Linked DNA regions of Drosophila melanogaster. Changing the gene in region 1 together with any one later gene gives a genetic interaction. Each region holds a gene or a part of one and is shown in the gene's direction. Other genes may lie near its edges.

The links.
Region 2: of Crk (region 1) and drpr, changing one enhances a phenotype caused by changing the other (phenotypic enhancement), as found in Drosophila melanogaster (one study listed by BioGRID).

The regions. Positions count from the first base shown.
Region 1 is NC_004353.4:208,300-213,798, forward strand, and holds Crk (Crk oncogene), read left to right. Parts: upstream 1-1,924; 5' UTR 1,925-2,063; exon of another isoform or gene 2,064-2,138; 5' UTR 2,139-2,155; coding exon 2,156-2,187; intron 2,188-2,258; coding exon 2,259-2,381; intron 2,382-3,290; coding exon 3,291-3,495; intron 3,496-3,554; coding exon 3,555-3,683; intron 3,684-3,815; coding exon of another isoform or gene 3,816-3,881; exon of another isoform or gene 3,882-3,975; intron 3,976-4,328; coding exon 4,329-4,430; intron 4,431-4,491; coding exon 4,492-4,716; 3' UTR 4,717-4,866; downstream 4,867-5,499. UniProt on the Drosophila melanogaster protein: Adapter protein which interacts with C-terminal portion of mbc, homolog of human DOCK180. May play a role in cellular processes throughout development.
Region 2 is NT_037436.4:1,727,900-1,733,120, reverse strand, and holds the start of drpr (draper), read left to right. Parts: upstream 1-2,013; 5' UTR 2,014-2,596; intron 2,597-5,221. Other genes in the region: Oseg4 (outer segment 4), read left to right, coding at 1-1,532, 1,601-1,793. UniProt on the Drosophila melanogaster protein: Receptor which is involved in the phagocytosis of a variety of cells including apoptotic cells, severed and pruned axons, degenerating dendrites, salivary gland cells, germline cells and bacteria.

The DNA.
Region 1 (5,499 bases):
TAGAATTAAACATAAATATAAATGTGTAAACGGTAGCTAATTCGAGCGGCGATTTTAACAAACAAATTTAAAAAGCTTTAAAATTATAATATTCAGGGCGCGAATTTTTAAAAATTTTTTTATTTTATCATATTGCTAGGAAATTGGCAAAAACTACCCTAATATGTACCATGTAAATTCGTTTCTTCGATCAGAATTGATTTCGGCCCGAAAATCGTCTTCTAGCACAACACGCACACTTATACGCGTTCTCGTCTCTTGTTTTTACTCACACAAGCAAGCAAATTATATTTTTAGATTTCTTACGCTCTCAGCGGGAGTGAGCCGAAAGAGAGTAATTTTGGCCGTCACCAAAAAAGTGGCTGCATAGTGCCAAACCAATGTATGGCCGTTACGCATCTTGTTATTCTAGTGTCTTTGGTTTGGCACTATGCAGCCACTTTTTTGGTGACGGCCAAAATTGCTCTCTGTCCGCTAGCTTACGCTGAGAGCGTAAGAAATCTTAAAATAGAACTTGCTTGCTTGAGTAAGTAAAAACAAGAGACGAGAACGCGTATATGTGTGCGTGTTGTTCTAGAAGACGATTTCGGGCCGAAATCAATTCTGACCGAAGAAACGAGTTTACATATTTGATGAAATTGCGCGCTGTTAAAAATATCAAATTGAAATATAACAAAAAAAAAAAAAAAAAAAAAAACTGGAACTGAAAAACAACTAAATCTAATGTGCATTTTAAATAACAAAAATTTTACATACATCATATTAAGTCAAATGACTTGAGAAATATACTAAATATATACGGAAATTATTATAACAACTTTAATTTAAAACATACATTTTCCAAAAAGAAGACATTACATTGAGAAATAAATATTTCATAAAAATAATACGAAGTAGAAAACAAAAATATATAAAAATAAAAAAAATATGTAAACTGTTTATTGCAAAAGTCATATCATAGACACTAGAATTATTCTAGTGTCTTTGCTTTGGTCATATCTTGAGCATGCAAAGGAATGGCTATTACAATATAATTTGATTAGTATGCTACGCAAACCTCTAGCATTTTGATAGGAAAAAGATTCGGACAAAGATTCGTTGTCAGTTTTTTGAAGAAGATGAAGAGGCGGATGGTGCAGTGGTCTGGCCATGTGAGGAAAGTTTATTTCCCACGGGCCCCTTTTTCCTATTTTTGATCCTAGCTTCAAAATCTTATATATCTTATGTCCATAGCGTAAGATAAGTTAAATTTTTCCACTTTTATATTACTTTTATATTATCGACTTTTGTTTTGTCTTGCATATAAGACCATACATCAGATGATTTTTGATCAGGTGAAAACCGAGAAACGAAAGTTTGTTTCTTAAGTGGAATCACCGCGAGTGGTTTTGGCCCTGCAGATTGTATTTCTGAAGTGCCAACTTGTGCCGGGAGTCCGGACTCAATGTTCCCTTGTGGTGGTAAACTAATCGGGACAGGTAGAATCACTGGTTAAGAAACCAGTGCAGACAATTCGGAATCTTTAGCAATCCCAGGGTGGGCTCCCTCCACAGCGGATTGATCGGATTGCTCCAAATCTTATTTAGCTGCCGATCTTAGCAACATATGCGGATTTTCTACGATTGACAGCTGATCAGTTGTGGAGTCAAAATAACATGTCAACCAGATATATTCGTATTCCTAATATTCCTGTAAATATCCTTGAATTGAACAGAAGAACAAATATATCGGTTTTACTTAAAAATTAGAATATCAAATTGATATGCATTGATCACGGTTTTACATTTAGATTTTAAAAGCTGACAGTACGTCCTAAAGGGGTTTACCACCACAGAGCAGTTGCTCGAAGGAGTTCTTTTCAATCGAATGTGCCCTGTGCAAGTGCCGCATTACGGTTCTACGGTACAATATTGGCATAAAACTTCCAAGTGGAAATAATCGATCAAACATTATCGATAGTGTTTCTATGTGTGGCCCAGCCAGATACACATATAAAAGGCAAATGTTTTAAGGCCAGAAATTCGAAAATGAAATCACTGAAGAATTCTGGTATATAATAGGCTGTATGCTATATTTGCATTATATCACATAATTTCTATTTATTTAATCTGGACGGAATTTGTTGTAATTTGTCTAAGATAAACCTTAAACGGAAATGGATACATTTGACGTTTCTGATAGGAACAGGTAATTTAAGATCAAGTGAAGATTAAACCAAAAACTATCAATTGTTTTAACATCAAAATGTGTTCTTAAAGCTGGTACTTTGGTCCCATGTCTAGACAGGATGCTACTGAAGTTTTGATGAACGAACGCGAGCGGGGAGTGTTTTTAGTCCGTGATAGTAACTCGATAGCAGGGGATTATGTACTTTGTGTAAGGTAAGTAAACAAAATTAATACATTCAGACTTTGATTGTGTACTTATCGTTTCATTTCTGTTAGCTAATTTTTATTTTAAAAATTAAACTAAAAATTGTGTATAGTGAGAAATACTTAATGTCAGCCTTTCTTAATCGCAGCTTACCATAAAGGTTTATATAGAAATTCCTGTTTCCATTTTAAGCATGTATACGTGTTTTATAGATGTACTTTAAACATTTATCTGTAATTTTTAAATATAAACAAATTTCTTACATTAAAAAAGGATATTCTTTTTAATAGACCTGGGTGAAAAAAGTAATAAGAAAGAGAAATCTAAAAATTTTTATCAATTTTGTGTGTTTCAGTTTTGGGAAACCTTAAAAATTGTGTTTGTTTTATTATTTCTTTCCCAGAAAATTTTTGAAATTTCTCTTTCCCATTCAACTAGCTGAGTAACGGGTTCTCTCTTGTTTTGTTTGATATTTAGATCCAATGGCAAGGGTCTATGGTCAATTTTGTATTTCTTTAATTTAGTATGGAATGTACCTTTAAGGACGATGATAAAATGTCAATGATGATCTCTCATAGCCATTGCAATTTAGTATGTTTTTAATATGTGCGCCATGTATTGACGGGGTAAATAAATTGAAGAATTTAACGACGTAAACAAAAATAATTACGAATTAAAGGAACTCAATTTCTACTGTATGTCTCGCCACGCGGCATTTATTAAAGAATTAGATGAATAAACGTCTCAAGAATATTCTTTTTGATTTTAAAAGTTCTTTATTAATATAAATGTATATACATTAGAATATTAAAAATAGGTTTTCATATTTAAACTTGAAACAAATTTTTGTTTAGTTTTTAAGGATTTTGCGCCTGTTATAAAAGAATTGTTTACTTATAAAGATTTTTATTATTTAGAGAAGATACAAAAGTTAGCAACTACATCATTAACAAAGTTCAACAACAGGATCAAATCGTTTACCGCATTGGGGATCAGTCTTTTGACAATCTACCGAAACTCTTAACTTTTTACACTCTTCATTATTTGGATACAACCCCTTTAAAACGGCCTGCGTGTAGAAGGGTGGAAAAAGTAATAGGAAAGTTCGATTTCGTTGGCAGCGTGAGCATTTACACAATTATTCATTTTTGTAAGTAATTTAATTTTCTTATTTATCAAAGGATCAAGATGATTTACCTTTTCAAAGAGGTGAAGTTTTAACAATAGTTCGAAAAGACGAGGATCAATGGTGGACTGCGCGTAACTCCTCGGGGAAAATTGGTCAAATACCGGTTCCCTATATACAACAGGTGCGTTAAGCAAATATTTGGATTTGTTATCCTTTTTTGTAACGGGTAACCCGTTTTTAATTTCTTTGTTTCCTTATAACGCTGATGTTAAAATACTACACTTGAAATGAATGGTGAATTCGGTAAAACCAGTCGCGTCAATTTTTATGGAATGCAAATAAAACTTTCGATACGGCGACACTAACGCTAGGATATTAATAATGTAAAATCAGAAAGAAACCCGAAAACTAGTGAGACGTATAAGGGTCAATAATGTCAAAGAGTCGCCAGAAGTAAATATGTAAAAATATATGTATGTATGTAAAAAATGTAAATTGAGCTCTTTTCCCCACGCCTATTTTATGACTAGCGGGTATCTGATAGCCGAGAAACTTGTTCAGAAATAATTATTGAGTTCATGTAATAATACCCTTAAATTGTTGCGATTAGATTCTTTAAAGTCTGACTACAATCTCAATACATTATAAAATCCATTACAAAAACCATTTGCATTGAATTAAACTGACAATGGACAAGCTCCATTGCCTTCAATATATTCGTCCGCTTAAATAGAGAAGGCCAAATTGCGAACGACCTTTGATAAATAAGTTTGTTAAAGGCATTGATTTTTAAAAGTTAAATCATTTTCAAATTTGTTCTTTTCAGTATGACGATTATATGGATGAAGATGCTATTGATAAAAACGAACCTTCCATTTCGGGATCTAGCAATGTATTTGAAAGTACTCTTAAAAGGACAGATTTAAATGTAAGTGTTCCAAAAAAGTATTTAAAAAAAAAATAATGTTTTACATTTTAATTTATCGAAGCGAAAACTACCTGCATACGCCCGCGTAAAACAGTCAAGGGTCCCTAACGCATACGATAAGACTGCATTAAAATTGGAAATAGGTGACATTATTAAAGTCACTAAAACAAACATTAATGGGCAATGGGAGGGAGAATTAAATGGAAAAAATGGTCATTTTCCCTTCACGCACGTTGAATTTGTCGATGATTGTGATTTAAGCAAAAACTCCACAGAAATATGCTAAATAGGAAGGAATGGAAGGAATTTCTTTTGATAATTTTGATTTTTGAGCTAATTGTATGATTAATAAGTTGTGCATACCAATTGTTAACATAATCAGAAAATTAAAATCTTATTAAGTAAAATAAAAATAAACGGGTACGAAGGACATAATAAAATTTTTACCGTTTTTTCGTATGATTCTTATACAAAAAAATTATGAATTTGAAAATCGATTTGGTTTTTTTTATGAATTGTGTAACTAAACGGTAGGTGCTACAGAAAACCCTTTGGGCCTTATATTTTTTATACCCGTTACTCGTAGAGTAAAAGGGAATACTACAATAGGTTCGTTGAAAAGTATGTAACAGGTGGAAGAAAGCGCTTCTGACCATATAAAGGCTGTTCAATATACAAAGACCCCAAAAGCCGGATACATCTCCGAGTAACGCCAGAACGCCAGAAGTTTTTTTATCACCCGCAAAGAGGTCCTTATTTGGCCCTTCGACCACCTTCCAAAATTTGATATTTCCAAACGTCCATAATTCGAGGCTAACAGAACCTACCTCTAAGGCACCAACTCTACAAGCTGCCCAAACTAATTTGACGTCGAATCCTTAATCACCGACGCATCACCAACGCAGTATTAAAACTATGACATATACTTTGCAGCATCATATGATTTCATTCATGTCGTTCGTGTGGATTATCACGCAAGACCTATCTTCCTGGAACGTTAAAATAATGTGTATCTTTAGATCAATAGTTAGTTAGTGCTTCTCCTGATACCACGTTCCGAGAGCACCTA
Region 2 (5,221 bases), on another chromosome or scaffold:
ATCTTCCGGGGCAATGATCCCGAGGAGCCCGTGTCCTGCTCCGGCTACATATGCACCTTCGAGGACTTGGAGATCACCAGTGTCCTGCTGGACGACATAATCAGCGTGGGTGAGCTGCAGAATTTTTCGCATATCATTCAGCTGAGGGTAAAGTCCCTGCGCGATACCGACGATCTACTGGAGCACGTGGGACTGGAGGATGCCAAGCAGTTCATTGAGGACAACCCGCATCCGAGGCTCTGGCGACTGCTGGCGGAGTCTGCGTTGAAGAAACTGGAACTGGAGACGGCGGAGAACGCCTTTGTCCGTTGTGCCCACTACCCGGGCATTAAGTTGGTCAAGAGACTGCGCACCATACACTCCAAGGAGCTGCAGAGGGCGGAGATATCAGCCTTCTACGGAGAGTTCGAGGAGGCGGAGAAGCTCTACCTGGACGCGGATCGTCGCGATCTGGCCATAGAGCTGCGCATGACCCTTTGCGATTGGTTTCGCGTGGTGCAGCTGTACAGAATGGGAGGATCGGGAGTGTCGGACCAGCAGATGGAGATCGCTTGGCGGGAGATTGGCCACCACTTCGCCAACCTGCGCTCCTGGGAGAGTGCCAGGGAATACTACGAGAAGTCCCACTACCTGGAGGGTTACATGGAGGCTCTGTACCACTTGGAGCAGTTCGACGACTTGGAAAAGTGCGTGGAACGGCTACCGGAGAAGAGCCCGCTGCTTCCGAAGCTGGCCGAGATGCTGGCCTCCGTGGGCATGTGCTCCGAGGCTGTTCAAGCCCATCTTCGATTCGGCGACCAGAAGGCCGCCGTCGCCACCTGCGTTAATCTCCGGCAGTGGGGCGAGGCTGTTGAGCTGGCCCAGAGGTTCCAGCTGCCCCAGGTGCAAACGCTCATAGCCAAGCACGCGGCACAGTTGCTCCAGGAGGGACGCCTCAAGGAAGCCATCGAGATGCAGCGGAATGCTGGGCGTCATCTAGATGCAGCTCGCCTGCTTTCTCAAATGGCGGAACGGGAGCAAGAGAAGCGTGCTCCGCTGCTGAGAATCAAGAAGCTGTACGTGCTGGCTGCTCTGCTGGCCGAGGAGCACCTCAAGGCTGTGGCCACGACGGAGATCGACTACGCCAGCGGCAGGAACACCCTACTGGACTCCATTGCCCTGGAGGATGCGGCCGCCATCGAGAGGCTTTGGCACTGCGCCGAGGCCTACCACTTCATGCTCCTAGCCCAGAGGCAGCTTCGCTTCGGGATCGTCCACAGTGCGGTGGTCACTGCGGTGAGGCTGCGCGACTACGAGGACGTCCTGCCTCCAGAGCACATCTACAGCCTGTTGGCACTGGCCAGCTGTGCGGATCGGGCCTTCGGAACCTGCTCCAAGGCTTTCATGAAGTTGGAGCAACAGGCTCATCTTCCCGAGGCTACCCTTCAACGGTACGAGGAGTTGGCGGCTGGGATCTTCGCCAAGTACGATCCGGAGGACACCACTGGCGATAGGGTGGATTGCTATTCCTGCGGAGTGCCCGTGCCAGATAGGTAAGTGAAGGGTCGACGTCAGAAGCTGGATTATAATGATGATACTCATGGAATGCCGATCCTTTCAGCTCCCCCTCCTGCCCCGAGTGCAATGCTCGCTTCCCGGCGTGCATCTCCTCCGGGAAACCCATCACCCAGCCGACGAACAACATATGGATCTGTACCACCTGCCACCACTGCGCAGCTCCCACCGAGATCTCCAGGCACCGAACTTGCCCACTGTGCCACAGTTTGATCGTGTCCATGACGGTGGAGATCTGAAATGAGCGGGGACTAGTGTTTTAATTACTCCAGCTGTTTTTCATTCTGCTTATCCCAGGTGGTACAGGCGTATCTACTCCGCAAATAAACAATGTAGTTTTAAGATAGAATTCAAATTTATTTTCAAGTGAAAAGTGTTATAAGTGGAAAGAGTGACTGTTCACAGTGAGTATTTCCTGGGGAGTGCGCTAGGGCCACACTACTAGCTCATCCAACACTCGCAAAGCGGTCACACTGGCGAGTGCAGCTAAGTAAGTCGGTTGTCCGTTTCTTGCTGAATTTTAAATAAGTTAAATAAATTTCTGCTTCGTGCGGTGGTGTGCGTACGCAAATATAAAATAAAGTAAATAGTAATTGCGGTGCTTGCGAAAACCAAACGAGCTCCAATTGACCGACGAAAATACTTAAGTGCATTAAAGAATTGCGTTGTTGTGCGTCGCGCCCGTTTGTCCTTATTGTTGTCGTTAGTGGAGTGCACGAAAAGTAATTGTTTTTATTTAAAGAGGTTGCATTTTAATTGCTAAATCAGCTCAGTTGCGAGTAGAGTGCCAAAATAGAGAGTAGCGACAACGAAAACAAGTTTTTGTGGATGGTGAGAAAGTAAAAACAATAGCAAATTTATATATATAGCTATATATATATGTGGTAAGGTGCTGTAAGCATTTAAAAATACAAATCCTCTCGAGGTTTTAATGGCCAAAGTTTCGTAAACGTGTAAATTGAGTGGAATTCGATTGCGAGTGCATTCTTGGTTTGTTTTGAGTGAGAACCGAAAACCAGTTTACACCGTGCTTCTTGCCAAGGTGAGTTTTAACCCCAATCGTGGCAGTTTAACGTTAATTTTAGTCATTGTTATGTTGTTAAAAATAAGTTTTCTTCTGTTAAATGTGCAATTTCGCCTGGTTAGCTTTGTCAGCTCTCTTTCCCTTCCACCTTTCTTCTTTCCCAACGAGCGGTTTGTTTATGACCGCAGTAGTGCACTTGTGTGCGTGTCAATTAGCGCTTTTATCGGGCGCACACCAAGAACAGTTAAACCTGTTCTGGTTTCTCTTTCGCACAATTTAATGGCCTTTCTTTGGCTTTAGTTTTGCGCTTTCGTCGACTTCTTCTTCTTTGTATCTCATGCATGTATCTTTATATCTGTCATTCGGGGAATTGGCAGCAAATCGGCAAACTTCTCTTTCATCGACCCCCTGCGACCAGCACCTCGCTCCCTGGAAACCCGCATCTTGTGGATTCTTTCCAGTTTCCAGATTGCTGCTGAAGCTTCCAGCTGTCACAGCCGCAACAACAACAACGCCAACGGATCAAATGAAAACCCAGCCAGCATAAACTCACACACATCGAAATTGCCTAACTAACGCACACATTAAAATACAGTCGATGCATCGTCACGAAAATAAATAACAATAATAGCCGTTTATAATTTAGATCAAGTCGCAAAAAATTTTTTTGCGTTTAATTCTTTATGAGTACTGATTAAGGTATCAGTTCAGCGATATTTCATATTACTTCTGAATATGGGGGTGCACACAAATTAAGATATATGTAGAAACCGTTCTTATTTTTTATAGAATTCATTAAATAAGTATGGAATAAACTGCGATCATATTTCCCATACAAAGCATTTTTATTTTTCACACAGTTTCCTTAACCAAGCGATTTTAAGCTTAACCTTATATTTCTGACACTGGCAATGGAACTTGATTTTTATTATCATACGTGATTTAATGAACAATGACGCCTGCTTAGGACACGAGCTTCGAAATGCAATGCACAGCGAAAAGTCCCACAAGCCATTGCAAAATTAAAAACTGAAATGGCACTCAGAGGTGCACTCTCCCCACCCTCGGTATCATATCATATCATACCATGCCGTACATGTCACAATGTCTGTTTAGGTTCCTTTATGGAGCCGGGCTTTGTCGTCGCCATGATTACTCAGCTTTATTGATAATGCTGGGTGGAGGAGTGGCAGGGAGTGGCTGGGATGAAACCTCCTGGGATTTCTTGTCCAATGTGGCGGTGGTTAGAGAGCAACCCATGAGTCGGGATGTTAGTTTTCCCCTTATGATTACGACATTCTCTGTTCTCTATCTTTTCGCTTTGGGTTTGCATTATCCAACATTTTTCTTTGCTTTCTCCGTATTGTTGCAAGTGCATTTCGCTTTTGCTGATGATTATGCTTAATTCTTGTTCGTCTGTCTGCATTGCAATGTGTGGGTGCCTTTCCACTAGAATAATATACACATGTTTTCTTGGTTTTCAGCTGAAATCGGTTCTCTTCGCTGAATCAATCGAGAAAGCTTCTAGCTCTATCCAAATTCGGGCTAGAAATCCGAGCTTCGCCCGCTAATTGGCCAATACAAACTGAGGTGTTGAGTGTTTGGCTCACTTGTGAAATGAATACGAAACAGCTGAAATCACTGTTTCTCACTGATACTTCATAATGGCAGCTAACATCCATCCCAAAATAATAACGTTTGAGAACCCTTTGCCTCTTTGCTTTAATTAAACTGTTCACTGAAAGTTTTGATTGGCCTAGCATTTACGTAGTTCACAAATGTAAGACCCTAGACCTCGTGCAAACTGATATTCTTTCAATAATTTCATTTCCTGGGCCAGAACAACTTGTTTTTATACCAAATCTATTTCTTGCCATTGAAATCGTTTATTATTCTTAATAATCGTTTTTGCCAAATGTGCTTTGTCGCCTCGCCAAGGCGTTAAATTGCCCACTGAACGCCAAACATATGCGTTGCGGTTATTGGAGATGTGTATTGTGGATTCAGTAAACTCGACTTTGATTTCGCTATCCAAAGTACAGCTCAAGTGAGGGCTCCTCCTTTGTAGAATAATTCTGTTTATATAAAGCGGGAAGCGACAATCTTTGTTTAGCCTTTATCAAGTGCGCAGTACTTGAAGTTGGGGGAATAGCTGGCTCATTTTCCCCCTATGCTTAAGATTATAGTAATCCAAGTCAAATCCAGATGTTTACATATGCACTGTGCTGAATCAATTGAAAATACATCACAAAATATATACACACAACTTGAAGAATATAAGACCTACTCTTAGCTCTGATGGAGGTTTAATTGGAACGAAAATAGGCAATGCTTATACTTTATAAAATACATATCATTCTAATTGAATGAAATAGACGAATGCCATTGAGTTTTTTTAACAACAAAGCTTTCTCCTTAGTCCGAAAGTATTTCGCAGATTTTCTTTGGTTTGTTTTTGTTTTGTTTTTTTCTTTCGAAAGCTTTCATCGAAAATCAGGAAATTAGTCATATATAAGTACCTACATATGTATACATTATAGACAGATTGCCAGCGGAAACGGACTCGCAACTTACTTCTAATCAATCTTCTATTACCTTTGCTAACATTTTATGGTTCTCCCTCAACTTTTCGTTGACCCCTTC